2 linked regions of the Alligator mississippiensis genome follow. The protein of the gene in region 2 interacts with the protein of the main gene of each other region in a pairwise test. Links are inferred from orthologs where the notes say so. Each region holds a gene or a part of one and is shown on either strand. Other genes may lie near its edges.

The links.
Region 1: the proteins of LPXN (region 2) and HOXC9 interact in binary tests that used the Homo sapiens proteins (3 or more experiments, as listed by UniProt). The two-hybrid records come from large-scale screens. The link is inferred for Alligator mississippiensis from reciprocal best matches to the Homo sapiens genes LPXN and HOXC9.

The regions. Positions count from the first base shown.
Region 1 is NC_081838.1:8,245,929-8,259,500, reverse strand, and holds HOXC9 (homeobox protein Hox-C9), read left to right. Parts: upstream 1-6,179; 5' UTR 6,180-6,300; coding exon 6,301-6,862; intron 6,863-8,746; coding exon 8,747-8,991; 3' UTR 8,992-9,079; downstream 9,080-13,572. UniProt on the Homo sapiens protein: Sequence-specific transcription factor which is part of a developmental regulatory system that provides cells with specific positional identities on the anterior-posterior axis.
Region 2 is NC_081825.1:172,163,030-172,179,406, reverse strand, and holds the start of LPXN (leupaxin), read right to left. Parts: upstream 6,646-16,377; 5' UTR 6,559-6,645; intron 6,285-6,558; 5' UTR 6,076-6,284; intron 4,669-6,075; 5' UTR 4,516-4,668; intron 4,488-4,515; exon of another isoform or gene 4,330-4,487; 5' UTR 4,261-4,329; coding exon 4,248-4,260; intron 1-4,247. UniProt on the Homo sapiens protein: Transcriptional coactivator for androgen receptor (AR) and serum response factor (SRF). Contributes to the regulation of cell adhesion, spreading and cell migration and acts as a negative regulator in integrin-mediated cell adhesion events.

The sequences.
Region 1 (13,572 bases), on a different chromosome or scaffold from region 2:
TTACAATGTGCTGGATTGCATCGTGGTGGATTTTTTTTCTCTCCTTGCCTATGTGTGTATAATACTCTTTCCCCAGCAGGTGTAATTTTAAAACCCCGAGGCTTTGTGTGGGTCTGGATGTATGTTCCTGTGTTGCACTGTTCCTCTTTGCTGCTTCTGGGGGTGTTGAAATGCTTTGGCAAATACCTCGCGGGGAAGAAAAGGGAGATGTTAGAAGTGAGAAGGAGTCTGGTGGTTCAAAGGAGCTGCTACTAGGCTCCATTTTGCTGCCGTGCAAAGGCTGTGGTTTCTCTGCCTTTGGTTGCTCCCGCTTAGCTGGTCGCCTCGCTTGAGGTGGGTTGAGGGCTCGGCGTGCAGTGCCAGAGGTGGTTGCAAAACTATACGCATTGAGGTCGGCTCCGCAACCGCGGGGGCTCTAGGATGGTGCCTGGAGGTGGCTTTGAGGGCTCTGGCGTGCACAGGTTGCGGGGTGGCCGGGGCATCTTGGCAAGTGGGCATGCTGCCCCGTGGAGGGATATGGACCCGTGTGTATGTTGTTTTTCCTCGGGGGCAGGATTTTAGCCCCGAGACCGATTCATTTGAGGAAGTTGGCGTGTTCCAGGCAGGTATCCTTCAACCAGGCCCAGAGCTCGCGTGCTGTATGTTCATCCCTCTCCCAAATCTGCAACCCCCCCCCCCCCCTCCCTACCCTTCCCCTCCATCCACACACCCTCCGTTTCGGGATCTCGTGGAAGTGTTGTCCGGGTTCGGCGCATCGTGGTCCTTCCAACACCTTGGGGTTGCCTGTGCGGGGGCTGCTGTGCAAGTGGGCAGCCCCCAAAACAATGGCATTTGCACAGCAGACACAACTTGCAGCTTGGAACCGTACTTATCTATGCTAATTACAGGCTGTCTGACAGAAGGATAATAAATGCAGAGGCAGAAGTATAGAAATATGTTTCTCCAGGCAGTGTACACGTTGACTCTGTAGGTCCAGGCTTGTTTTCTTGCTCTCCTGTTAATTCACTTCTTTTGCAAATCTATTCCCCCCCACCCACACCCCCCAAACCCACGCTCCTTATTCTTTCCCCTCCTCTGTTGACTTGTACTTCGTAACACACCCCAAACCGAGATAACTTAATATGCATGGGAGAGGAGCATTTCGAGCAGCTTCAGTCTTCCTCTATTACTTTTAGACGGGCTTCTCAGTGAACATTTTTGCAAGGGAAAGAGATTTTTTTTTCCTGATTGGTTTTTCTTGTTTTTTTTTTTTCTTTTTGCTTTCTTTTTTTTTTTTTTTCGGAAAAAAGCACCATAACCCCCATGAAAGAAATGGGTCCTGGGTTTTAATAGCACCTCGGAATTTATTGTCTCTTACCCTCCGACCAGTAAAGAGTCTGGAATTTGGAAGGCATAACAGCAGACAAAATTCTTAGCAACAGACGGAGTTGAAGGGGGAAACACACACACATGCACACTCACACACACACATGCACACGCATGCACACACACGCAGGTAAACAACTGCTTTAGTGCGATTTGCAACTAACTTTGTGTCTTTTCTGCCTCTTCCCACCCCCCCCCCCCCCGAGCTCTCCCCACTGAAACAGCAAGTCCAGGGGAGCTGCAGGTCAGGTCCAGCTCCCCTGTGCTGTTTGGGGGGTACTTTCTGCACAATAACTTTAAAGCAAAAAAAAAAAAAAAAGCAACCTGGAGAAATATGATCTTCAAGTAGCCAAAGAAATTTGGTGGCGGTGGCGAGAGGAATCCATCCATCAATCGCGTGGTTATAGGACGTGATGGGCTATTTTATTTTCGTGGAATTGCTCTTTCTTCGCTTTGTGTTTTATTGTATTTTATTTTATTTTCCAAAGAGGCTAGGAAACAGCCCTTCAGAGGTTTTTAAAAAAAAGAAAGAAAGAAAAGAAAAGAAAAGGAAAAGAAAGCAAGAAAAAAGCGCGTTTGCAAGGCTGGAGAGGCTGAGGGCAGTCGTCCCATGGCTGCTGCGGATTCAGACACCACCAAAAAGAAACCCCCCCAACCCCATTGTGTGCTATTTTCATAAGGGGAAAGGGTGGTTGAGCGGGTGGAGAAGGAACAAAGGGAAGAGAGGAAGAATTTGGGGAGGGGAGAGAAAGGGAGGAAAGGAGGAAAGAAGGACAAAGAGACAGAGAGCAAGGTACAGGATCGGAGGGGGGAGCTGGGAGCCTTTCTGCTGCTCAGGGATTAAAATGAAAGCGAGGGGCGATGCCTGCAAGGTTGCTTTCGTTTTGTTCCGAAAGCCAAGACGACCCGCAGCCCCCCGAGCTGGACTTCTCCCCGGAGCCGGGGGGCGTGCGGGGCTGCGGGGAAGGGAGGGGGGGAGGGCAAAAAACCCCCAAACCCCAAAACCCGGGTCTTTTTTTTTTTTTTTTTAATCCGAACTTGACAGTGTTAATTGAACCACGGGAGAGCGGGGAATGCGTGTTTGGACGCGGGGCTTGTCTGCCTGTCAAGGGTGGCGAGGTGTCTGCTGCTTCCAAGGCCCTCGCCGGAGCTCGGGCTGCGGATCTCGGCGGCCGGGAGCCGGGGGCTGCTCGGGCTGTGGCTGCAGGGAGCAGCCTTGCGTTGCTTTCCCAGCTTCAGGGTGCAAATCCCAGCAGCTGCTCTGCAGCCCCTGTGCGGGTACTGGCTGGTGCTCTCCAGGCCTGGAGCTCCCACATGGGGAGGTTTCCCCCCTTCCCCTCTCTCCCACCCCTTCTTCCAGGTTGGAATTGCCCAAACTAGAGTTTTCCAGCCCTAAACTTCTCCAAGTGTTGTGTATTTTCAACGCAGCCTCTCGGAGCTGAGCAGAACCACACAGGGGACTTGATTACCACCCCCCACCCCAACCACCACCTTTTTCTTTCTTTTTCTTTCTGCATTCATTTCTTTTTCCTTGAAAAAAGCATGGGGCGAGTTAGCCAAGGGAAAGCAAGGCAGAAAAACACAGCAACAGGGACCCAAAGCCTGTGACCATGGGCAAAGCAGCCAGAGGAGAGCTGAGATTTCTATCCCCTGCACAACCTCAGCAGATCAGCCTGCAAAGAAGTGGGGGGAAAAAATGAGCCCAGTGAACTGGAAAGCAGCTGGCTCCAAAAAGGTGTGAGATTTCAGCTTCTCAGGGCACTTCTCAAATAAATACATATATAAATAAACAGCTTCCTTGATTTTCTTTCAGTAAGGAAGCTAGCCTTTTTTTTTAAATATCTGTACAAATCCTGGGGTTTACTTTGTTGGCGGGGAGGGTGTGTTTGAATTTCCCAGTGGTGTGTTGCTTTGGTTAAAGGCAAAGCGTTTGGGGTTTTCTTATTTGATTTTATTTGGCTTGCAGAAGCAAGGGGGAGATGGGAGGAGAAGGAAGATAATAGGTAATCGCCCTTAAAAGCAAGTGAGGAAGCTACTGAGTTTACAGGAGTAGAGAAATGTTGACTCAATAGCTACAAGCGTCTCTTTGCAAACTCAAGGCATATTTTAATTGCCCCGTGCACTCCTGGCTGCGAACTTTGCGCTGAAGATTATTGCAGGGGGGTTATTTCTCAGCCCCATGTTTGGACTCGACTTGATCCCTGCAACTTTACGTTTATCCATATGGAGAGGGGTTAGCATCCCTGTACCAACAGGGAGGAAACAGGGGCTTGACGTGGGCTCAGGATTATATTCTGCCAGGGCACAGCTATAGGTTTCTGATCATATTCATTAAACCACCTTTAGGTTTTGTACTGAGATGAGCTGCCTCTGTTTTGCCTGGGCTGTTTCTCAGAGGCAGGCTGTCCCTTGAATTAAAGACGCTTGTATTGCAAACGCTGCGGGTTTTATTTGGGGGGGGGGGGTAATAAATCCAGTAGCAAGATGGGGGGTGAATAATTCTAAGTGGCGAAGGTTGCCTTGTAAATGCAAGAAATCTTTTGCCAGCTTCGTGTTTCCCTTTGTGTAACACAAAAATGCACCATTCAGGGCTACCTTAGTGACCTTGTCTGCTCACATTAAGGTTACCAGGACTGCTTTTTCCTTTAAAACCCTGTTGGTTTGATAATGTCTGCTCTAAACATTTAATGTCTTCTCTCTTTTGGTGGCTTTCCCCTACCACCTCTCCCCCCTACCCTCATTTTCTCTCTCTCTCTCTGCCCTGGCTGATCCCCTTTCTGCATCTGTCTGCAGACCACCGTCCTTTTATAAGGTTTCTTTTAAATATAATTCAACCCTGCAACAAAGCCAAGTTCCTTGTCGCCTCCACGTTTTAATATCACAGCATATCAACCACAGTGGAGAGTAAGCATTTTGCTCTTTTTCTTAAGGAAAAAAAAAAGGGGGGGACTGGGAATAGATAAAGAATGATGAATTTTCTTTTTTCGCGTGCACATAAAAATAGCCATCATTGGAGTCTTGTGATTGACAGATAAATTGATCTCAATAAAGGCCAAAGGGACGTGGTACTCCTATAGGACTATTTCCCTTTAAGGGCTCACATAAAACATAGGACTTCAAGCGAGAGCAGAATAAATTCTCAGGGATTTGGGCGAGATGATGACTTTCCTCCTCTCCACTTTGGGGCTCCTGGAGCACATGAGCCCCCACACATACACTCCCTTTCTATTGCCAGGGCCCCCTTTTGTAGCACGAAACACTTTTTTTGCAGCAGTGGTGCTTGATTCCTAAGGTGAATTAAGGTGCAAGTCTGTCTTCCCTCAGCTAAGACATGGGCTGCAACTTTCTAGGGTCTGGGAGGTGGGGGGCTTTCTGAATAGCATCATGTATACATTTCTCGGTGTGCATTTAGCTCCCTTTCTCTTCTGTCTGAGGAACTTAAACAGAGAAAAAATGGAGAAGAACAAGAAATGAATCCATTCCTGTCTTGGGATTGTTTCCTGAGAATTGCACACACTGTCCATAATGTCATAATGCCTCTCTAAGGGACACAGGAGCCCCCCCTCTGTCTCTCCTTTCTGTCTCCAGAAGAAACCACCATAACCTCCCTCTCCTCCCCAGTTTGGACCCTCAGCTCTGCCCAGTTGCCCTGAAATCCTGAAGTGATGCCCCGTCCTTGAGAGCACCAGACCATCCACCTTTGGGGCTCCTTTAGGAAAATCAGACGTGATTTCTGCTACTCCTAATTTTCCCCTCTTTTTCCAGAGAAATCATCTCAACTCCATTCATCCAATGGGCGGGAGCTATTTATCTACCTGCTTTTCTCTACGAAAGAGGTTATTTCTTTCCAAATGCAGCCAGGACATAAAGTGTTTTTTTTTGTTTTTTTGGTTTTTTTTAATTCAGCCAACTTCTTCCATCGATTTGTTGTGGGTTTTTTTTAAAGTTTCAGTGCCTATCTATTTATTAAAAAAAAGCATCCCTTCAAGTATGAGCCACATTGTTGCTTGCTCTTAACATGCCAAAGACTTCTCCTTCCCAGCTACGCCTTGAGAGCTGAAACTTGGGCTTACAGTTTTATTTAATGAACGACACATTTATGAACAATCAAATGATCCTCGTAAAAATTTTATTGAAGGACATAAAAACATCCCACGGCTACTCGCCGAATAATGTAGCCCTTTCACTGCTAACGCCGAGAGTCATTTTTTTTTGGGTGGTGGTGGTGGGGAGGTGATTATTTCCCATTCATGTTTTAAAAGGGGATTCCCTGCTTTGCTTTATGCCTTGCTTTTTTAATTCCTCTCCTCCAGCGGATACTTCTGTTTAAAAAATAGATTACATGTGCATGTGGCCAGCAGATTTCTCGCTGGTGATTAGCGCTGCACAAGATGACAAAAGAGCCACTTCTTTTTTTTAAGGGGAGAGGGAGGCTTTTTTCCTTGGGAAAGGGGGCGGGGGGGGTGTCGAGGCTGAACTCTCCTAGACTTCCCAGCGATGTCTTTTTACTGATATTCCGTGTAATGTATCCATTACAGAATACAAGCTGCAGAAGCAAAAAGACAGAGACAAATTACGTCAAGAAATAGTTCCTGGGTTACCTTACCCTCCCCACCTTCCCGGCTGCTCAGCTGGAGAGCCCCCCCCTCCCCTCCCCTTCCCCAGCCACCGAGGGAAAGCCACCTTTCGCTAATGAAATGCAAGCTGCGTGCCTCCTAATATCTGCCTTATTTCAAGAGTTTCGTGAAAAGCCAGGTCGCCGAGGCGCTATTAAAAAAAGACCTGCGGATTGATCCGCGCGATATTTTTGGGTAAATACAATCACGTGAGCGCGGGGAGCCAATGGCCAACTGGGAAAGGCTGAAAAAATAATTACCTGCCCTGATTGTTCTATGAGAAGATAAAAAGTACACATACAGTTCATACAATAATCTTATGAATGTAAAAGAGGGGGGAAGGATGTCCGCTTCGGGCCCCATAAGCAACTATTATGTAGATTCCTTGATAAGTCATGAGAACGACGAGCTCTTGGCGTCCAGGTTCCCCGCCACTGGCTCGCACCCCGCGGCCGCCAGACCTTCAGGATTGGTACCGGACTGTGCCGACTTTCCGTCCTGCAGTTTCGCCCCTAAACCGGCCGTGTTTACTACTTCCTGGGCTCCCGTGCATTCTCAGTCGTCCGTGGTTTACCATCCGTATACGCACCAGCCGCACATAGGGGCTGACACCAGGTATATGCGCACTTGGCTAGAGCCCATCTCCGGCGCTGTGTCTTTCCCAGGCTTCCCACCCAGCAGCAGGCATTACGGACTCAAGCCGGACGCTTTCCCCGGCCGGAGGGCGGAATGTGGCCCGATGGACGGGCGAGGTTATCCGGATTATATGTACGGATCCCCGGGTGACCTGAGAGACAGAACACCGCAGACAATTCCATCCCCGGAATCTGAAACCATCGCTTCCAGCAAACACAAAGAAGAAAAGAACGAATTAGACCCTAGTAAGTTGAAGTCATTCTTGTTTACAACCGGGAAGGCATTATAGCCTCTAGTACAGTACTCAATAAAATGAAATTACTTTAGAGCGCCGTCCCCTAAATCTGCGAGGCTCCAGGAAGAGCTGGGTTTAAAATAAAATAAAAGAACAGAAAAATATAAAGGAAAAAGAAAGCCCTCTAGGAGAAGCTAAGACCGAGCCGTGAGCGTTTGGGTTATTTTCTAACAGGAGAAGGGGGGAAGCTATTGGTTTCTTTGATAAAATATTCCTTGCCCCCCCCCCTTCCCCGGCCCCTTCCACCAAAAGAAAAAGGAAAAAAAAAAAGCTTTTTGGCTTGCAGATATTCCCACTTCCCAACAGCAAAAGGAGTTGGGCTCAGCTCCCTTCTGGCTGGGAGCTGGTTCCCTGGTGTGGGTGTGTGGAGAGAGGGAAGATCCCAGAATAAACAGAGCTCTGTGCAAAGGGAGGAAAATTATAGATCTGTCTAAATATACAAGCCATTCAGGGAAGAATCCCTTACAAGCCTCCAACACATGGGAAGCAATGGAAGGGCAGGCTGTCCCCAGCGAAGGCTGAGCCAGGAGGGTGAGGAGCTGGAAGAAGAAAGGCAGGGGAGAGTCTATAGGGATAAATAAAGGAGCATCTTTAGGCAGGACACTGGACCATCCACTTGGAGAAACATCTTCTTTAGTCTCAGGGAGAAAGGAGGGGAGGGGGGGGGGATGTTCAAGGAAACCTTGAACATAGCAGGGAATTAGTGGAAGGAGATGCCTCTTACCCCATGACAAATGTAAGCATTTTTTTTCCACACTATAAAACGCTCAGTTCAAATTGCACGTGTGTCCCTGAAGCACAGGCAGTTGCTTCTGTGAACACGAGCAGCTCAGGGAAGGCACAAGTCAGGGAACCCCACTTATATCGGGGACCCCCCTTCTTGGGGGGCACCTGGAAGAGACCCCCCCTCCATACGCATCTATGTGAGCGTGGCTGTGGGGCTGCCCAGATCCAGGCACACACACACACACACACTCACAGACACACACACACAAACATAAGCATGTCATGTGTTTATTAAGCCTTCTGGCCTAACAATCCGATCAAATGTTGATTTATAAATTAGGAGCCTGTGTGGTGCGTGTGGGTCCAATCCCAGCTGTATCGATGCATCTCCAGATAGAAATCAGCAGAGCTCCTTCTGTAAGACAGAGCTAGGATACAACATGCAGCTGAACCTGGGAGCATATTCCCCTTTGCTGGGGAGAAGCTCTTTTAAAAAAGGGAGGTGGGGAGGGCGATTAAAGATATCATTTTAAAGCTCACACACTTTTGTCACGGTTCCAGGTCTAACAAAGTGGGGCTGGGGGCAGCAGAAAGAAGGAGAGGATTTTTTGAGGCTTCAAAACTGGTTCAGGGAGCCAGTCAGTTTATCCTGTGTCATCCTCAAGATATTAAAACAAATAAACCAGGCGATCCAGAGCTGGTAGACTTCTCCAGGAGGCATGGGTTGTAAAGAGAGTTTATGGGCCTGTGAAATGGTGGGAATTTTGACTTTTTATGACTATGTTCTTAGATTACTCCTACCAGAGCTCATGTGGATCATTATTATTTTAAGCCCATTGCTAGAGTTTTATTTACTGAAACTTTTATGTGCAAGCAACAGCGAAAAGAGAGGAAATGGTCCCTCCAAAATAAACATCTTAAACTCTTCTGAAGGTCACTTGGAGATATTTAGCTAATATTCCCTAATTAAACAGGTTTCTTTAAGGGGAAGGGTATGGGAGGAAAGGACTGGGCGCTGGAGGGTGAGGGGGGAGGTGAGGAAGAAAATCAGGATATATATAAATATATATTTTGGGGGGAAATTTTTTCTCTCTATCTTCTTTCCCAGGCAACCCCGTCGCGAATTGGATTCATGCACGCTCCACAAGGAAGAAAAGATGCCCCTACACAAAATATCAGACCCTGGAACTGGAAAAAGAGTTTTTATTCAATATGTACCTCACGCGAGACCGGAGATACGAAGTAGCCAGGGTCCTCAACCTCACTGAACGCCAAGTCAAAATCTGGTTTCAAAACAGGAGAATGAAAATGAAGAAAATGAATAAAGAGAAAACCGATAAGGAACAGCAATAAAGTTGGCAGAGTCCAATAAGTGCAAGAGAAACGAGGGTGAGAGAGAGAGAGAGAGAGAAAGCAAGAAAGCAAGCAAGCAAGAAAGCAAGCAAGAAAGAAAGAAGAAAAAAAGCTGTTTCTTTGGTCCGAAATGTTTCTGACTTTGAATGTGCTGATGAGTGTTTAGAATTAGGCAAAAACAGCAAAACCCGTTGGACGCACCCTGCTTTTATAAAGATGCAGCTCAGTAATAAAACCAGAGGTCGTTTTTAGTTTGGGGGTTTGTTTTTTGGGGTTTTTTTTTTTGGTTCGGTTTCGTCCTTTTTGAGAAAACAAGCAAAAAAAAAAAAGTACTTGAATTTTTTTTTAATTTAGTATTTTATTCCGTAACTTAAAACTTCTCCAGTGTTTTATTTTTTAATTTCTTGAGTTTGTGAGTGCATATTTTGTACAAAAAAAAAGGGGGGAGAGGAAAAAAATAGAGAGAAAAGAAAAAGAAAGAAAAGAAAGGGGTTGGGGTGGGGCGGGTGGGGGGAGATCACTCCATAATGTTCTGTCATAGTGTTTGGACGTTTTTTGGTGTACTTATTTGTGTATTTTCTTCCTGTCTCACCGTTCTGTAATATTGTTCCGTTTTGCTATAGTTGAGCAGCTTTATGTAAATATATACCTAACATCACAAAAAAAAAAAAAAAAAGAGAAAAGAAATGCTAAAAAAAAAAAAAAAAAAATCCTTATCCTGTAGGTGTCCTTTATTTAAACATAGCAGCTACCAACGTGCTCGGGGGAATGTGTGGTTCCTCCTCCTGTTTAAAAAAGCCCTTGCAAAATCGCGCCAGGGAATTTTAGCCCTGATAAGAAATCGCAGCCTGTTGAAATGGAGGGTGTATGTGTGTGTATGTGTGTGCTGTGTGTGCATATGTGCAAATCCACCGTCTTGCAGAAAGCGAATGAAGAAGGGATGGAGGCTAGGGGGGGAAGGGGAAAAAAAAGAGACTGGCTTCCGCTCACAACATTTTATATTTAATAGTATCATCATAAAATGCGTTTAGGTAAGGGTTATCCGTGCCATAAATTTTTAGTTTGGGATAATTAATTGTGCTAATTTATGACCCCAGGCAATCGAAGTATATGTAAAAGATTAAATATGTATGCCGGGGAAGTGTGCAACATTGCTCTGTTTGACAACCGCCTGTATTGCAACTGCTGCGTGTTAGCACTGAAGTGCCGGGACTTAGAGAGGGGTTTCTGGAGCTCCTGCAACACACAGGCTCCTTCTTGCCTGGCAAAGGACAATGCAGTGGATGGGAGAGGACTGTAAAAAATAATAGGTTATGAGAAGAATGAGGAGAGGGGAAGGGGATGTGCACGAGGTGGTGAATTTGGGGGTTAAAAGTCTCCCTTGTTTTCCACCCCCCTGTCCCCAGCAGCGGTTGTTTGCAAAGGCAAGCAGAGGCGTAGAGAAGGGGTTAGGGGAGGGGGGCGTTCAGGCTGGATGGTGGCTCGTGGCGATTTCCCTGGCTCAAAAGCAGGAGAAGGCGCTGCCCAAAGACACTCAATGGCTGATATCCCCGAGAGCTGGAAGGGGCTGGATAAAAAACGAGCAGCCGGGGATGTTTCATCATAAAAACTTGTTGAGGGTCCCTTTTCTTTAATGAAACGAGCAGGGCGCTGTTTTAATCTTCCTAATCAAAGCCAGAGCAGGCTGGGGGGAGATGTTTGTCGCCTCCAAACCAGGCGCTCCCAAAATACAAAAATCTGGAAGCGATTACCCGGGGAGCTCAGAAAAATATCGCTCTTTCATATTTCTTCCCTTGGCATGTGGAGGGGGCTTTGGCTTATGGATTTGTCTGCGCCAGGGCTTGTGTGTGTGTGTGTGTGCGTGCGTGCGTGTGTGCGCGCGTGCAAAAGGGGCGAGATACATTCATCTCAGCATCCTCAGCATCCTTGCAAAGCCAGAAGCCCCACGTTTGCAAGGATCTTAAGGAGCCCAGGGAAATGTTCAGGGTAACAATATTGTAGTAGACCGAGGGGCTAAAAGAGCTGATTTGACTGAAAAAACAACTAGCCCTCTCCATTCATGTCTTTATTTCCCTTCCTCCTGCCCCCTTCACTCAGGAACCTCGACTGAAAGAAGCCGGGAGGGTCTGAACACTGTATTTGCAGTCATGGGTGATGGTGGGGAAAGGATCCTTTGCTTTGGGGGAGTTCTCCCCTTTAGCAAGGGACTTTGCGAGCAGCCTCGGACCCACCTCTCTGGAGATGCCTATGTAATGAGACGCTGGGGCGAAGGGTGGAAAGCAATGATGTATGCCCCCCCCCCCCCCCAATTTTGTCCCCTTCAATTCAAAGCACTCTCATCCCCCAGGCGACCGCAAGAAACTTCCCTCGCCCTGCCCATCTCGTAGCCTTCACACAGGCAACCCACACAGGCAGCCCAAGAGGCAGGGAAGAATCCGACCCCTTTTGTCTCCAGCTAAGTGCGGTGGGGCTGTCTTTTGTTCCTGATGCCTTGGTTGCTTTTAAATCCCTGCTGCAGTCCCAGGTCACGGGCAAGGCTTCTGTAGCACCCCCCCATATCTAGAAGTGGCATTTGGTCCTGCAAAGGGGGAAGGGGGGGGTTGACCATAGGACTGGAATGTGCTGCCTTGGGAGGTTGAGGAGACAGGCAACGGGGCTAAAAATAACCCGAATTAAAAAAGAAAAAGAAGAAGACATGAGCACACAAAGCAGAAGGTGGGCTTGAGTCCTTGAATGGGATCGAAAAGGCTCCGGTGCAAGGGGCTGGCGAAGGGATATGTGCGGGTGCATGTCACTATTTTCCTGCTGTAGTATTTTTGTGTGTGGTTGTTTTAAAGGACGATCCTTTTGTAAGGCGCGCGCACACACACACACACACACACACACACACACACACACACACAAAGCCAGCATACCGCAGCTTTGAAAGCGGTCCATAGGTGCACTTCCGCAGCAGAGGAAGAGGGGGGCAAAAATGCTAGTTTTACAACTCTGTTTGTCTCACTGCTATGCGCGCTGAATAGGAGCGAACAAAACAGGACTTCAGATCTGGCTAGACGTCTGGCTTTAATTGTTTTATGGTTTAAATAAGGTGGGTGCTCTCTTCTTTGAAACCGGATTATTGGAATGTTTTGTCTACAAGCTACAAACAACAGACCCCCCTTGGACGAGAGGAGAGGGGGAAAGGGAAGCAGGGGGGAGGGAACCCCCCCCCCTTCAGTTAAAAACTGATAAAAGCACTGCAGTTTGGAGGAGGGTGTTTGTGTGTGTACACATTGGGCCTTGGTTTTTATGGGATCCTTAAGCAGAAAAGAAGAAGGGGGTGGGGAGGGGATCCCAACCCGCTACACCCGCTGCAGCGTTGATATAACAACAACCACAGGCGCACTGTTTGGTGAGGGGTCATTGCAAAGCTCCTGGTAAATCAACAATGCATGTAATTGTTGGTTATAAAATGCCTCCTGATTATCCCCACGCATCCTGGAGTTTAGGCAACCCGTTTGGGGTTTTCTTTGGCTTTCTTTTTAGCCCGAATTGGATGTGTTTGCGGAGGAGACTCCCCCCCGCCTTCCCTTTTCTCTCTTTTTAATGACAGAAGGGACTTGTTTTGTGTTCCCAATACAAGGTGTCTTGGAGGAAGCCAACGCACGATGGCGCTGTTGTTCAATATTAGAAGTAGTCGGGCCCGGGGAGGTACAAAGCGTGCCATTGCACCCACAGGCCTCTGAAAGGTTTCAGGAGGAAAAAAAAACCCAAATCAAAACAAATATGTATCCATTCCCTCACCTATGACTTGTAAATTAACATCTAATGTGTGCCGGAGAAGCAAACGCATTAAGCAACTGTCAAGGACCCGGGGTCTGTGCGATTCTAAAATAAAAGAATCATCTCTGCAAGAGATAACTGGTTGAAAAGGAAAAGCTCAGACCATCGTAAATTAATTATAGCTGATGAGACACCTTCCGTCCAGCATCCACTAGCAAATACATAAAATGCTGAGGAGAAAGCTGCTTTGTTTGAAGTCTTGTTCTTTATTAGCGCTAACACACGTTACACATGTTGCAGAGGCTCTTGGCGAAGGGAAGGAATAGCGGAGGCGATCACATTTTGGGTTGCAAAGCAGAAGAGGAAAAGGGGGAGGGAGGTGGGGAATAAACCCGAAATCCGTACAATGACGTCTCTTAAAGTACAATACAGTTGTATTTATAAAGCTACATTGCAAAGCACGCATACACAAACTAACATGGGAAACACGGAGCTCCACAAACTCCCACGGAGGCACAAAACACAACGCGGAAGAGACAAAGAGCAGCACCGTAAATGTCACGATTTTTTTTTAAAGCCCAGAGAATTGCACATCACTGATCTGATGAGTGTGTGTGGTTCTTTAAATAAACCCCAAAAAACAGACCTTGAAGGGAAACATTTATTGTTAAGCTCTCACGCAATTAAACAAATATGACTCAACTACCCAGTGCCTCTTTGATTATGACACAAATGCGTATTCGGTTGGGGGGGGGGGAGACAAAATTCAATTTCTAGGAGATACAATTCAAATCATCCCCATATTTGACATCTTTT
Region 2 (16,377 bases):
CTGTAACATGGGCCACAGAATTTCACTTAATGTATCAAGTCAAGAACTCCTGGAGGAGTAACATGGAAGCAACTTCTTCTAAACAAAATGCATGGTTTGCTTGCCAAATGATGCACAGCACTCCAAGAAACTGATTTCACATAACACAGCCATATATACACACTGTCTTACCTGTGCATACAATCCTCTTAAGCTGCTGGGCAGGAATGACTTAGCTCTAATATCCCCCCCTTCTAGGGAACTGGTTTTTGGCCTGCGCTTGTACAAGTGGTGAGGAGACTGTGTACAAGTGATGAAGATCCTGCTTTGTGTGGCTTAATTGCATCACGCTTTACACACATGAGTTTTGTGACTCTTAAACTAATTCTCATAGTGACAAACTAGACCATATCCTGATGTAGTTTGGTTTGAGGTGCTCAAACTTGTGACAGTTAGGCCTGTGCAAATAGGGAACTATTTGATTCGGATTTGGCCGATTCAGATGCCAGAGATTTGATATGGAGATCCAAATCGTTATTCCAATTTGATTTGGCCAAATTGCTTCAGAAGGCTCAGAGCCATTTTGGAGTTTCAGCCATAGAGTAGGTGTTAGGTGCAGGCGTTTCTGGGAAATTGCACCTGAAAGTTCTGAAAGCAAAACTCATGTCACGTGTGTGTGTTAAGTCACAGCAGAAACCCCTGCACCTATCACCTTTAAATTTGGCACACGTCACGCTCTCAGCAGAGACTACTGTCCTTGCAAGGTTCATCTGAATCAGCCAAAAGACAGCAAAGTTATAGCTATTTCATTAATTCCCCATTATACCCTATGGCTGAATCGCCGAATTGCCAAATCTTTTCCGAATCGATTCGGAAGCTCCAAACTGATTTGGAAAGCCTAAAGCTTCCAGCAATTCAATTTGGATTTGTAGATTTGGCCTCCGAATCATCCAAATCATCTCTGAATCCAAATTGTGATCCAAAGCTTTGCACAGCTCTAGTGATGATGCAGCCATAAGTTAGTCACATCTACATGGTAATTCATTGATTGATGTGTAGTGATCCCTTTGTCCCCTGGGTGTCACTACGATTTTTGTGTAGTAAGCCCCCTTTTCCACCAGATGTCACTACAATTTGCAGGTAGCTGCAGGTAATTTGCAGTGTACAGGAAGTCCTTGACTTACAACATTTCAAGTAACTACGTTTTGCACTTACAACATTTATAAATTGACACCCTATTTCAGCTTTCTGACATCATTTTTGACTTTACAACTCTTGATCCGATGCCATGCCATGCCAGTGAACAAGTTCACTGCATCACCCATCTCCCTGGAGAACAACTGTCTAAACTTCCTTGGACACTTTCTTTAAGAAAGCAGACAAGACTCCAGAAAATCCTGCAGCCAAGACTCCTGAGAAGGCTTCAAAAAGTCCAGCAAAGTCACCTCAAAGAAATCGTTCCAAATCAATATGATTCCTATTTACAATATAAATATGTTACTGTAGCTATATTACTCATCTAAAATTGATTGAGTACAAAATTCTGGGTTATTTTTGGTGAAAATAGGGTATCGGGCCTTGGTTCAGGAACCAATCCCCCATTTATAACATTGTTTCCTATGGGAAAATTGGTTCTGAGTTACAACATTTCGACTTAAGACACGATTTTCAGGAACCAATTGTGTCATAGTCCAAGGACTGTCTATAATTTGCAGATATTTGTGTGTAATGAATGTTTTAGCACTCTAGGTATAACTGCAGAGCCTGACATGAATCAATCTTCTTCTGAACTTTTTTCTTACCTCATTAAAGAAATTTTGCAAAAAAACCATTTTGTTTTTATCAACTCCTATTTCACTGTACTGACATCTGGGTGTCCCAGGGTGTGCTGGGGGGGGTAAACAACTCATTGGACTTTAATGGGTCCTCAATGTTCCACTGTTGCTTGGACGTCCAGGAGCACAGTAGCAACCAGTAAAATTGCATGCACACATGCACGCACACACATGTGCGTGTGCGCACACACACACCTCCCCCCATACTTAACTAGAAATAGTAAAATTAAAAATAAGGATGTGAGAATAAGAATTTTTAAAAAAAATATCTGTACAAAAAAATTGTGTGTTTAAAATATGCATAAAAAAACTAATGAAGGTACATCTCAGTGTGCTGTGAACGACAGGTGCCCCCTGGTTTAATTTAACAAGAAGAGATCAGCAGGGTAGATTGTTGGGTGGATTGTTACGTGGTGCTTCCTGCAGTAATTTACTGTGAATAGCACATGAGGCATTTCATTAGATTTTTGGGTTATCACATGTACACAGTGATGGAATAAATTAAAGCCCACCATGTCAATTTAGGGGGCATAGAATGATACCCTGAAGAATAAGTCCATGTCACAGGTTTCAGTCCCTAGCTCTAGACTGCAGGTGCCAACAACTTCCTCCTCCTCTCAGATGGGCTGATCTTTTATCAGATCTTTGTCTTTTGATTTCCTGCTTCTCAGCCTTAGCAAAAAAGCAGGTCACCAGGGCTGGTGGTGAGAAGCTGCTCCTTCACAGCTAGAAACTGCGCTAGTACATCTGAAAAAGATGCTGTTTATCTAGGCCACTCTTTACCTTTCCTGCCTAGTTTCTGCAACAATCTTGTTTGATCTAACTGCATAGTCAGGCAGTGTAATGCTGTACAGATATGCTGATGGACATATGATAGTTATAAGAAGATAACACGAGTCTTTCTCAGTTCTCTACACTTGCTTCTCCACACTATTCCAGTCCACACACAGGTAATTGTTTCCCAGGCTAGTTAGCTTAACCATATATCATTATTCCCCCCTTGAGTTCTTCCGCTGGCATCATCTTTTAAGCTTTAGCTTCTCAGCCTCATCTTTAAAGGTCTTTATCCACTCCCCTCACTGCATCAGCATTGCCCGTTCTACTCCACCAGCGATGCCAACTGCATTAGCCCATTTGCGTGTTTCTCCCACAAATATTCCTGCTGTCCTTTCTGATTGACCGGCCTCCTCTGAATGGATCCATAAAGCCAATACGCTTTCCTCCTTTAAATACCTCCTTATAAGCCACTTCATAGAAAGGACTCTTGTGACCATCTGGTGCCTGAGCAACCTGTTTATTAAAAAGAGTGCTAAAATTTCCCTACCTTGCAGGGATTGGGTGAGGATCAGAAGTATAACTAGAAATTTTGGTACCCTGGGCAGAGCATCAGAGCTGTTGAGTCAATCAAGCTAGTCTTCCTAACCTGTGCTCCTCTGGAAGATAGTAACTGCTACAGTGGAGCAGATCCAAGGGCCGCCTGGTCCAGTATCCTGTCTCTTACTGCAGCTAGCTTTAGGCTGCTTCAGAAGAAAGGGTAGGACAACTCCTAGCTCCTATATTACTCCACTATTATGCATATGGGATAAGTGCATATTTACCTAATGATGAAACAAAATGCCAGCGCCAATTTATTTTTCCTGGTGCTTACATTGTAACAAACTGCATCTATCTGTGTATCAGTTATGAGCACGAACTATGTGAATGCCCAGAACTCTTTGGCCCCTCTGTCTACTTTACAGTGTGACTGTATTCCACTTAATTGAATAACTGGTGAATCTGCAAAAGCCACCAATTTTAAGGCTTCAGAAGTGGCCTTGAACTGGCTGGGCCCAGTCAATTTCAAGGCTGCTATCAGAGGCATAAAATATTCTGAAAAACATGGTGAAGAGGTGCACTGCCTGCAGGATGTCCCTGGAATTAACAAGTATTAATTATATTGATTTAGGTTAAATGCACACTCAAGGTCAGTGAATAGCCTTTGTCCGTCCTGAGGTAATGCACTTATACAGGGAACACTGTAGTTCAGGATAACCACAAACCCTGAAATATAAGGTTTAATATCCTCTTTCACAATTTTTAGCATGGCCATAAAAAAAATCATTCAGTTCCCCATAGAAATGTCCATTCCCTCTTTTGAATCTTCCTAATTTCTTAGTCTCACCAAAAGTCTGGGGCCGTTCCCTCTGCAGGCTAACAACACAGCGGGGAGGGAAAGCATTTCGTTTTATTACTTTTGAACTTGCACTTTTTAATTTCACTCAATGTCCTCATAACACAGGGAACAGAAACCCCCTCTCCAGAAGCTCTGCCCCAGTACACCCACCCTTCCACCTCAGCACTAGTTCTATCCCTATGCTAGCATAAAACAACATGCTCAGGGCCTTGATTCAAATGTCCATTCCTTGCTCTTCAACCAGAGAGCAGCTCGCTTACCCAAGTCATCCATCTCCAGCTGCCACGGAGCCTTCTATCCCTCTTGCTCTGGATTACGCCAAGGTGCTGCTGGATAACAACACTGTAGAGAAAACAAGCGAGACAGCGATTGAGCGGAAGAATTGGTTGAACAGGCTTTCTGTTCCTCTCTTTTCAAAGCTGCACTTCCTTTCTTTGCAAGGTCAGGGACTTTTTTTGGTGGTCATACGTTACACAAAGCACGAGGCGTTTAGACCACAGAAAAGGCAAGCAGGAAGGAGAGTCTTACCAGTCTGGTGCAAATGTAGTCAAGGCTCTATCTTCTGTGTGATCAGGGCATGATGCTGGCCTTGAACCAGCAAGAGCAGTTGTGCCTGGTGAGAATCACTGAGTCCATCCTGACTGGGGTCTTTATTCAGCTAAAAAGAAGAACTCCTTGAGGCTGGTGCAAGCCAAAAAGGATCCATTATTGATGAGAATTGATATGCGCAAGAAACCACCATGTGCGGTTATTAACTTCTTCATGTTATTATTTTGTCCCAGTTAAACTATCATGGACCCACCCATTCTGATGGTGTGTATTAGGTCAGATGGTGCGTATTTGGCAAGATAATCTGCTGAAGATGCCCATATCCATGGAAAAACATTATACTGGTTGGGAATTCACTTGACTATGAACAATCAATCACCTGTTTGTTTATGCTTGGGAGAGGACAAGAGGAGGAACAGTTGAGACCTTTCATTTTTAGCAGTTTAACTTTAAGCATTGCATCATTTAATGGCACCCTGTTGCCAGGAAGAAGAGTGAATGATAATTACTGTTTTTTTTAACCAAAAACGGTAATTACAAACGATAGAACTGGCCACTAGATGTCAGTGTAGAACTATGAGGGGGACTATGAACTTAGCAAAATGATTTGACCTTCTGGGCTGTGTGAATACAACTTACTTTAACTGGGATTTGGACTGGCAGGTAATGAGCAGAGGCTAGAACATTCACTATATCTATTGATAAGAAAAGTTGAGATTATCAATGTTATGATGTTTATAACAAAATCCTACCCTGAACCCAATGTCTGTGTGTCAGATGTCACTTCAACACAAAATGAGATCTCACAAAATGTAGCTAGTGTGTATCTATTTACATTCAAATAAACCTAGAGCTTAACTTCCTTCCTCCAGGTGCCAGGTCTCCTCCAACATAATAACAAAGTGCCTGCCATATTAACTCTTCAAAAAACCCTGAGCCTAAGTGCCAAAGGCACTCAGTCCAGCAGCACAAGGTCCTCATATTCCAAGGCACTCACAACAAGGTGACATGACCATCAATGCCTCAGATCTAGTGTCAGGCTCTCTCACAACTCAGGACATAAGTCTGCAATCTGATAAAGGTCCAGGACATAATAGAGCCACTAACATACAATCGGGACACCCCATGTTTCTAACATCACATGCCCAAGTCATCGACAGTTGAGCACATTAAACTCTGAGGCCCACTGTTGTTTCATTCCAGTCTGGACTACTGAGTTCCTTTCCCCTGTGAGTCCAATTCCTGAAATAACAGAGTCTGATTAAGTTCCCTGTCAGGCAGAGAACAGAGATTTTCTAGGGGAAAATAAGCTAACCTATAAGAATGTACAGTAACTAGACATTTCCTAAAGGGAAAGACAAGGTAGGAAAGAATGGTGTTCAAAGCTGAAATGTGCACTTCCATCAAAAATCACTCTACACAACAGAGATCAGACTTATGTCCAGGGAGTTCTTCTAACCACATCCTCTGCAACTGAGCTGCAAAGGTAAAGAGTTAGGTAGGGAAGTTAGCTAGGCCCTAAACCATGCAATTACTTACTTGTGTATTATTGTTGGGTGATCCAGGCACCATTGTTGCAGTAAATGTGGCTGTAGTCCCAAATATCCTCTAACAGGTTCAGGTTGCCTCATCAGTTCTGCCTCCAGCTTCGCCTTTTCAGACAGCACTCTTCTCACATATGTCACCCTTCTGCCTACCTATTTTTACCCGTTGTTCTTTCACAAAAATATGCTGGTACATGGGTGGATCTAGGATTTTGAAAAGGGGGGGTGCAGATGGTGTATTGCATTATCACATAGAACACAACAGACAATTTTCTCCAGTTAAAAAGAAACTAGAAGCTTCACTAATATGTAGGGGCCTAAAGCTGTATTATTAAATTTAAGACTGAAGCAAAAAGAATTATTAGAATGAGCATTCATTTGCTATATCACATATTATACATAAAAACACCACAAACTAGGCAAAAATAATCCAAATATGTTGTTTCATTAGTCCTGAAGACATTATAGCTAAATGTACCTTTGTTTTTCAGATTCATAAAACAAAATCAAGCCTTCTCAAGCATCTGTACACTGCTTCCAATGCTTCATTTAAAGTGAGTTCCACCCTTGAGTTAATGTTTACCTGAGTTAATATTTCCACACCTGAGTTAATGTTTTAGCTAGAGATAAAAAACAGCCTGCAGGACTGTGAAATTTGAAGCTATGTTACTAGGAGCAGCTGACAGACAGCAGCATTGCAGAAGTAAGGATAGCTGGAGTAATGACACTATTAAAGACCATTTAAAATGAAAGAGGGTCATTAGCACCTGTAGAATGAAAAGCTTAGAAAGAATCAAGAAAATTCCAATGAGTCATTAGGGGCACAGACAATAACATTTGTTGCCTGATCAACCCTTTGAAAGCACTTTACAGCCATGTCATAATACACATGCATGGCTGCAGAACACTTTAAAAGTAGCTGATAGCATGGCAAATTAACCCTCATCAAATGGGGGATCAAATGAAGGCACTCCATTTTGGAGCATCTTAGGGAAGTCTGTTCCCTAGGGTCAATCTGTTGTGCAATCTTGCTGCATCAGGCCAGCCCCGTCCCTTGTGCTGTCTGCTGGAAGGAAGAGGGGAGGGGGAGTGAATTGCGGGCTGCAGTTTGCCTAACCTGAGAAGAGGCAGGCTGTGGATTGGAGACATTTCCCCCCACCTCATACCTTCCACTGCCAAAGTACCCCTCCCCCCAGCTCAGGCCAGGCAAACCCCAGCCCACAGCTCATTCCCCCTCCCTTCTTCTTCCTCCCTTCCTGCAGACAGCACTAGATATGAGGAGGGTGGGGGCTAGAGGAGAGAGGCTGCAGGCAGGTTCCTTGGGCTCAATCAGCTCCAAAGAGGAGATCTGTCCTTGAATTTTGCCACCCCCATCCTCCAACCCAATTGGCAAACATCTCTTGAGGCTGGGGCAGGTGGGGTGGAGACATGGACGGGCACTCTAACTCTTGGTTGCTTTATGTAAAGCACCATGTGACCTAGGATAAGATGGCTGATGAAAGGCCTCTGAAGAGGATTCAAGAAATGGGTCTGAGAGAGCCAGGGCCAAGGGACCCAGAGGTGAGATTGAGACAGTGTCAGCGGGAGGAGGCTTTTAGCCCAGGATGGGCAAGGGCTATAGCTGGAAGCCTGCAGTCCAGAAGGGGTGTATGACATCAGGAGAGAGCCCAGGAGGGGCCAGGATAGTTAAATCAAGAGGGCCTGAAGATGGTCCTGGGTAAGACCTGAAACTGCTGGTCAGCATGGTGGGGCTGCCTGTGGTGAGGTATCCACCACAAAATGCCCAGGGAAAGGTGAGCGTGGGACACCTGAAAGCCTCAGCTCCCATTGCCTTGTGGGTTACCCCATGGAGGGGGAAGGCTAAGGGACCACACCCTAGCAGAAAAGGAAGGGAATTGAGTGGAACCAGAAGGATCCAGAGGCCCAGTGAAGGTCCAGGAAGAGACTGGAGGGGTTGGACAACAGACCAAAGAGTCTGGGAGCCCAGGGAGGGACTGAGTGGAGAGACCAAAGGGTCCAAAGGCCTGGAGTGGGGCTGAGGGATCTGAGGACCCAGAGAAGGGCTGCGGGAGTGATGAGAGGACATCAGTAAGGATGCCATCTGTGAGGCTTGGGGTTCAGTATAGGAGCAGAATGGGACCGCGCAACTGGCCCATAAGGCCTTGACCACAAACCTGCTGGTCATGACAATAAAACCAGGGAAGCCTCCCGCAATTCTTACTAACAATTACCATCAAGGCAAGGTGGGCAAGAGCAGGGCAAACTGCCCATAGAGCAGGGTAAAGAAATGTTTTGGTCTCCAGAGGCTTCATGGCCACCCCTGAAGATGGCACCTTGTGACAAACCCATTTTTAGGTCTTATCTTCATAGACTGACACTGTCAGGAGCTAGTCATCATTGGCAATCCCTCGATTTGATGATGACCTATAGCACAGTTCATTGATGGGTCGTGAGCAGGAACCAGTAAAATAACTAGAGATGGATGATTAGGGTACCAAGCCCAGGTGGCCACATAGAGGGGGAGCAAGAATGAAAGCAGCCATCACTGTCAGCCTGGTCACTGCAGCCATAGCCAACTCTGCCCCTTCCATTCCTGGGCAACCCAAGACAGAATCTGGTTGTTGTAACTTGGTGAGAACCCTTAGCTATTAGCAGAGATCTGGGTTTCCCATTTGCCACAGAAAAACATGGTAAAACCTGGATTTTCTCATTTTAAGGAGAAAAACTCAGATTTCCTCCTTTAAAAGAGAAAAATGGAGGGAACGATGGGTTTCCCCTTGCAAGCTGGCAGAATTCCAGCCTGCAGTGGGAGAGGGTAGAGAGAGAGAGTGCACAGGGCCGCACCAGGAGTGGGGGGGCGGGGGGGGCACACAGGGCTGGACACAGGGGGTGGCGGGGCGCATGGGGCCAGATGTGGGGGGGATGCACAGGTGGGGGGGCACATAGGGCTGGACATGGTGGGGTGGGGCATGGGGCTGGAGGCGGAGCAGCAGCACTGCTGGGTGCTGCATGGCAGCACTCCGCCCCCCCCCAACTCCGCCCCCTGTCATTCATGACGGACAATTTGCTAGTTGTAAATATATCATTAAAATATTGTGTTCAACTGATACCTATATATATAATGGCGTTCCATTTTAATCAGGAAAAAACGTGGGTTTGGTGGTTTTTTGAATAGGAGAATTTGCTATTTTTAAATAGAAAAAACCAGGATCCCTGGCTATTAGGTTTTCACTGGTCACTAAAGACAGCATTAAATGCTAGCAGCATGAGCTGTGACTCCCATATGGTTCATGATCCTTGGCTGTTGACCTTTGACCTTTCTTTTCACTTCCTGGCTAACCAGGAAGACTATATGTTAACCAAAATAAATCACTGAAAAAAAATAATTTAACTAAGAAAAAGGTATAGAAGACAGAATAATTCAGAAGGGCTTAAGTAGAAAATACAAGGGGTCAGAAGTCACCCTCTCAAAGACAACCCTGTGGGACCTAAAGGGAGGTGGTTGGGAATTGAGATTCATGCAAGAGCTGTGCCTGATTACCATGGGTGTCCCTCTAGCCACTATTCTGTCCCAATCTTTGTCCTGACCTCGGCACAGTTTGTTTCCAATGGTGCCAAATTTAAAATTGTAGCTGCAGAACTGTTGTATAGAAGACCTGGCATTAGGTAGCTACATATACAGCACAGGGGCCATCAAAGGAGAGGCAGAACTATTACCTCCAGAACAAATTCTCCTCTCAGTCAGGTAGGACAGAAAGGGGACTTGGAATTCACTTAAATGCCTAGCGACCATCACTTCCAAGTGACACAGTTGAGGGTTCCAGCATGGAAAGATGGACAAGACAACATCCCCTTCTCTTCTCCTCTGTGTACCCTACAGTCACAGCTCCTTTCAGCTCGAGAGGAAAGAAATTCCTTTTCTTTCCTCTCTCTGCTCAGCCTGTCTGTCTTGTGTCAGGGGACAGAGTGTACTAGTGATTCTTCTTTTCCTTGCAGATTCTTTCCCTTGCATTGACAAGCAATTTGACTCAAGAAATCTGAGCCAACAAAGGGTAAGGCACTGCTGAATCTGATTCTGGCCAAAGGGGACAATCTGGTCAGCAACCTGAGGATCAAAGGGAAGCTTGGTGACAGTGATCATGAGTTGCTCACTTTCTCTGTCCATCACAAAGCTGGCAAATCAGTCAGCAATGCAAAAATCCTCGGCTTTAGGAAAGCTGACTTTCACAAGCTCAGGAGGTTGGTCATCGATAGGGGTGTGCGAAGTGGGCCCTATTCAATTTGGATTCAGATTTGGCCCAAATCAGGGACAGTGATCGATTCGTTGATTCAGACCACTGTCCCTGATTTGATTTGGCCAAATCTGAAGATTCGATGCTGATTCGGAGAATCAGTGATTCAGATATAGATACAGCTTTAAAAGTTTTTTCTACATACCTCGAAGTACCAGCATGGCTTGTAAACGCTGTGATGCTGGGGCGGATGGAGCATCCCACAGGAGTGTGTGGGGGGGCCCTCCACATGCTCAGTGGTGAACTCAGAAGTGGATGATTGGCTGTGGGGGTCCCTGGGTACCCTCCCCTCCTTCCCAACCCAGGAGGCACCAGTCGAGCTGGGAGGGTGTAGGGGGGAGACCCCTGTGCGCTCCCCAGTGGACCTGGAAGTGCTTCTGGCCCACTTCCAGGTCTGCTGCCGAGCACGCTGGAGAGCCCCCCGTGCTTCTGTGGGACACTTCATGCGCCCCAGCATAGCAGTCTTCACGAGCCACCTGCTACCTAGAGGTATGTAGAAAAAACATTTAAAGCTGTGTCTCTGGCTGAATCACCGTGTAGCAAAACCCCCAGGTTTTTCTTTCTTTATTTTTTTTATTTACTTAAAAATACATTCCCTCCTCTTCCCCAACCATTTCTGACTCTTTGTCTGCCCCCTCTATCCCTTATAAGTAGTTGTAGGTAGTCATAGGTAAGCTAAGTTCTTATACTCCCTTATAGTAACAAGCCCCTTTTATAATGTAAATAGTGTTCTGTTACGTTTTTATTGATTTTTACTGTTTTATATTGTATTGATATGATTTAGGCCTGTGTCTGTAAAGTAATGTCAAGTTTCCATTTTGTATGTCAAGCCTACATCTTGTGTCCCCTGCCCAGGTATAACCTATTGTATAGTATGTTATAACTGTGATTCATGTCTAACCAATCTCATGTAAATTGGTTCCTGAATGAATGGGAATGAATGAGTGTGCTTGAGGCATAATGGTAGCAGGCCTCTACTGAATGATTAGTAATGACCAGACCATCAACTCAGTGACCCAACCATTGCCTTGCATTGACTCACCCAGGAACCACAGACCTCAACCAGGAATAGAGAGACAAAATGCAGCATTTGAAAGATACAGGACCCCAGCATTTGGAAGACAAAGACCCTACAGAAACCAACAAACCCCACCACTGTATCCCACCAGACAATGAAGGCACCTGGATCTGCACGTATGCATTTGAGCAGGACTGGCCTTGTCTGGACATGTCCTTCCCATAGAAGACACAGGTAGCCCACCCCTATAAAAAGGGTGATAGAGCGTGACCTCTTTGGGATGCCCTCTCCATCTGGACCAGCACTACACCATGCCACCTATCCACCCAGAGGCCCTGCCAGCGACCTCCCTCTGCAAAACACCTTGCTAGAAAAGACCCTGACTGACCATCAAGGATCAACTCTCAGCCTGGGATAGGTAGCTATCACCCACCTTCTTCCCCCAAGCAAAGGACCTGGACTCTGTCTCCACACACCTTGACTCCAGTCCCTCCACCAAGCCTTTCCTCTTCTGCTATCATTGTGTGGGTATGTGTGTGAGAATATCAGTGTGTGTGTGTGTGTGTGTGTGTGTGTGTGAACCAATAATTTTGTGGGGCTGTATAGTGTGCTGCCTGATGAATAAAACTGTTATTTTGAAACCCCGAGTTGCGTTTTTGTCTTATTGACCTCCTGGCTCTCCTCCTTGATTTCCTGGCTTTCTCCCTCTGTTCTTTCTTCCTCATTTCTAGCCCTGATCTCCCAGCTTTCTGCCCCTCCTTTCAGCCCCTATCTCCCAGCTTTCTGCCTCTCTGCTTCCCGACTGTCTCCTCCTTGCCACCAGGCTTTTCCCCTCACTTCCACACCAGCACCAGGTGACCCCGAGTAACCCCAAAGGCACCTTGACCTCAAGTAACCCTGAGCACGAAGTTACCCCAAACACCCCTTAGTGTTCTCACACAGTCACAGAAGTGCATGTTTGTGTATGTTTATGTGAACTCATAGTGGTGTATGTGTAGTTTGTGTGTGTGTATAATTTTGTATCACGCCCTCCTGTCTAACAGTGCAATATTGAGATCCTGAGTGTTGATCTGGCACATGTCAAGTCAAGAGCTGAATATTTCTGAATCTCTCCGAATTGATTTGGAGGGTTCTAATTTGATTTGGAGAGATTAAAGGGTCCATTGATTCGATTCAAATTCAGCCACTGAATTGGGCCAAATCTCCGCCGAATTGAATCGGGGACCGAAGCTTCACACAGCCCTAGTCGTTGAGGCCCCGAGAGATCATGATCTGACAGGGAGGGAAGGCCATGATGAGTGGTCGCTCCTTAAGGATGTGATCCTAAAAGCACAAGGGAAGTCCATCCCATTCCATAGGAAAGGTAGTAAAAGGGCCGAGAGATCTCCTTGGCTCAATAGGGAACTCATGGACCTCTTTAATCTTAAAAGAGAAGCTTACAAGGGTTGGAAGATGTGAAATAACTCTAAGGAGGATTATGTATCACTGGCCTGCACCTGTCAGGAGCAGACCAGAAAAGCCATGGCTAAAACTGAGCACAAACTGGCTATGGGAATCAAGGAAAATAAAAAGTCCTTATTCAGCTACATGGGAAGTTAAAAGAAAAACAAGGGCAATTTAGGACCCCTGCTGAACCAAATGGGGCAGCTGACAACTGACACCCAGGAAAAAGCTAATCTCCTCAAATGATTACTTTGCATCAGTTTTCCACCAGCCCAAGGGGATCACTCTGCCTGATAGGACACAGGATTAACATGGTAAGGGCAACCATATGCCTACAATTGGCAAAGACCTTGTGAGGGAGCACCTTGAGAGGCTGGACATCCACAAGTCAGAAGGCCTGGACAGAATGCCCCCCAGAGTGCTAAAAGAGTTGGCTGACATCATAGCACAGCCAATGAGAATGCATGGTGCTTGGGAGAGGTTCCTGAAGATTGGAAGAAGGCCAATGTGGTACCCATCTTCAAGAAGGGAAGGAAGGAAGACCCAGGGAACTATAGGCCAATTAGTTTGACCTCAATCCCTGGAAAGATCTTGGAAAAAATTATTAAAGAATCCATCAACAACAAGCTAACGGAAGGCATCATTCTGAGAGAGAGCCAAAACGGCTTCATTAAGGGTAGGTCATACCTGACTAATCTCATTTCCTTCTACGACCAGGTGACATGTCACCTGGACAGGGGAGGAGAGGTTGATGTCACATATCTGGATTTCAAAAAAGCCTTTCACTTGGTCTCCCACGATGTCCTCATGGTAAAATTGGGGCACTGCGGCCTCTACAACTTTATGGTCCAATGGCTGGGGAACTGGCTCTGTGGTTGGACCCAGAGAGTGACTGTTGATCAAACCAAGTGACCAGGGCCATCCCCCAGGGTTCAGTTCTGGGACCAATACTCTTTAATATATTCATAAACAATCTGGATTCGGGTGTCAGAAGCAGACTGGTTAAGTTGCAGACGACACCAAATTATGGGGAATCACGATCACTCTATAGCAGGGATGGGGAAACTCCGGGCTGTTGGTCGGCTGGGGACTCCATTTCCCAGCTGCCCCTGCTTGCATGGCTTGTGCCGGTCTCCATGGAGACCTCAGCCGGCCGGGAGCACCGCAGCAGAGCAGTGTAGGAGGCTGCTTCAGAGCTGCCGGGAACGTGGGACAGGGGTGGCTTGCTCCAGAGCTGCGATCTGTACCCTGCACACTCCAGGCAGGGGCACGCATGCAGGGCATTGAGGCTCTGCCCCAGCTCCAGACAGGTTCTGGCTACTGCAAGGAGCTGGGGCAGAGCCACAATCCCTGCATGTGTGCCCCTGTTCAGAACATGCAGGCTACAGATAGGGGCTTTGCCCTGGCTCCGAAACAAGCTGCCCCATCCCACATTCCCAGCAGCTCTGGACCAGCCCACTGCAGGGCTTGGGCTGGGGTCTCCATAGAGACCAACACAAGCCATGCGGGCAGGGGTGGCTGGGAAATGGAGTCCTCAGGTGACCAGCAGCCAGGAGGTTCCCCATCCATGCTCTAGAGGATAGGCTGGGGATTCCGGCAAACCTGGACAGGCTTGCAAGGTGGATGGATCAAAACCTGATGACATTCAACATAGAGAAATGCAAGGTGCTCCACCCCGGGAGAAAGAACCCACATCGTACCTATAGGCTCAGCAGTGCTATACTCATTAGCATCATGACCGAAAGAGACTCAGGGGTGAGACCTGCAGTCATGATTGACCACCAGATGAATATGAACCACCAATACGATGTCGCAGCCGCAAAGCAAATAAAATCCTGGTTTGTATCTACCGATGCATTTCAAGCAAGGCCCAAGATGTCATCCTCCTGCTTTACTTGGCTTTGGTGAGGCCACAACTAGAGTACTGCATCCAGTTCTGGGCTCCACACTTTAAAAAGGACATGGAGAAGCCTAAGAGAGTCCAAAGGAAAGCCACACACATGATCAGGTCAAGAGAGAAGGCATGAGAAGGAGAAAATTTTTTGGAGGGGGCTGAGTGTGCATGTGCATACGTGTCCTCCCTCCCTCCCCCCCCCCCCCCCCCCCAGCAGGCAAGTCTGTGGGGGGAGTGGAAAGGGCCCTGGGAGGAAGTGAGGGAGTGGGCCTACGACCGGCAGGGATCAGGAGGGAGTGGAGAAGAGCTGGGCCCAGGATCGGGGCCAGGGCCCACTGTACCTGTGCAGCCACCCCTTCCCCCGCACCCAGGGTCCTTGAGCAGCTCTGGCATCCCCGCACCAATGAATCTGCCACCCCCCAGCCCTGCACCAGCCCCAGCCCCAGCCCCATACCGCCCATGCAGGGGACAACAAAGATGATCAAAGTCATCTTGGGGTGAGCCTTGGCTGTGCCGACAAGCCCTAGGAGATGGAGCCGCCAGGACTACTGCACCCACCCTACCCTGAGTTGTCGTTGCTTCCCGGGGGACATGAGGAGGGGGTGGTGGCTCCCGCTGCTGCATGTGTCCCTGGAATGCATGTGGGGAGTGCATGCCCCCAGATCTGCGTGGGGCAGCGCAGGGTGCCACTTTGGGCTGGGATGGAGGCTGCACTGGGCTCTTCCCAGGCTGCCTCCCCCCAGAACAGCCCAGCACAGCCCCATCCCCAGACTCCAGTGGCAGCCTGCCCTGTCCCTTGCAGATCCAGGGGCACACGCCCCCCATGCCTCCTGGCGTGTGGGTAGCAGCAGGAGCCATGCCCCCTGGACAAGATGCTCGTGGCTCAGTCCCAAGCCCCGCTGGCTGTGGAGTGCCTGCCCCACTCCCAGCCTCAGCCCCACTCCCTCCCCACCCCTGCTGCATTGGAAGCCCTCAGCCAGGCTGCCTTGCGGCCCTACTGCTGCTCCATGTTTAGGGGCTAAGCCCCATTAGCTCCCCCCCACTTCTTGCACCTATGAGAGCAGGCCTTATGAGGAGGGGCTGAGAGGCATGGGACTCTTCAGCCTGGAGAAGCGTAGGTTCAGGAAGGACTTGGTGGCAGCCTATAAGTACACCAGGGGTGTGCATCAGGATCTGGTAGAACATCTGTTCATCAGGGTACCCCAAGGGAAGACAAGGTCCAACAGTCACAAACTGTTGAAAGACCATTTTAGACTGGACATAAGAAAAAACTTCTTTACTGTCTGAGCCTCCAGAGTCTGGAATAGACTCCCCCAGAAGTGGTGCAAGCACCTACTGTGGACACATTCAAGAAGCGTTTGGATGCTTGTCTTGCTGGGGTCATCTGACCCCAGCTGACTTCCTGCCCTTTGGGCAGGGGGCTGGACTTGATGATCTCACAAGGTCCCTTCCAGTCCTAATGTCTATGAAATCTATAAGTCTATGCATATCACCACTCTGGATTTCTCTCCAGTCCCCACCACATACCTCCCACTTTTTCCCCACTGGCCACTATCTCCCTTCATGGACTGTCTTGTGAGGCTTGCTTCTTGCCTCTGCAACAGTTTACCTAAAGAAAAGCTAAGGCAACAGTCAGGGTAACTAGAAACA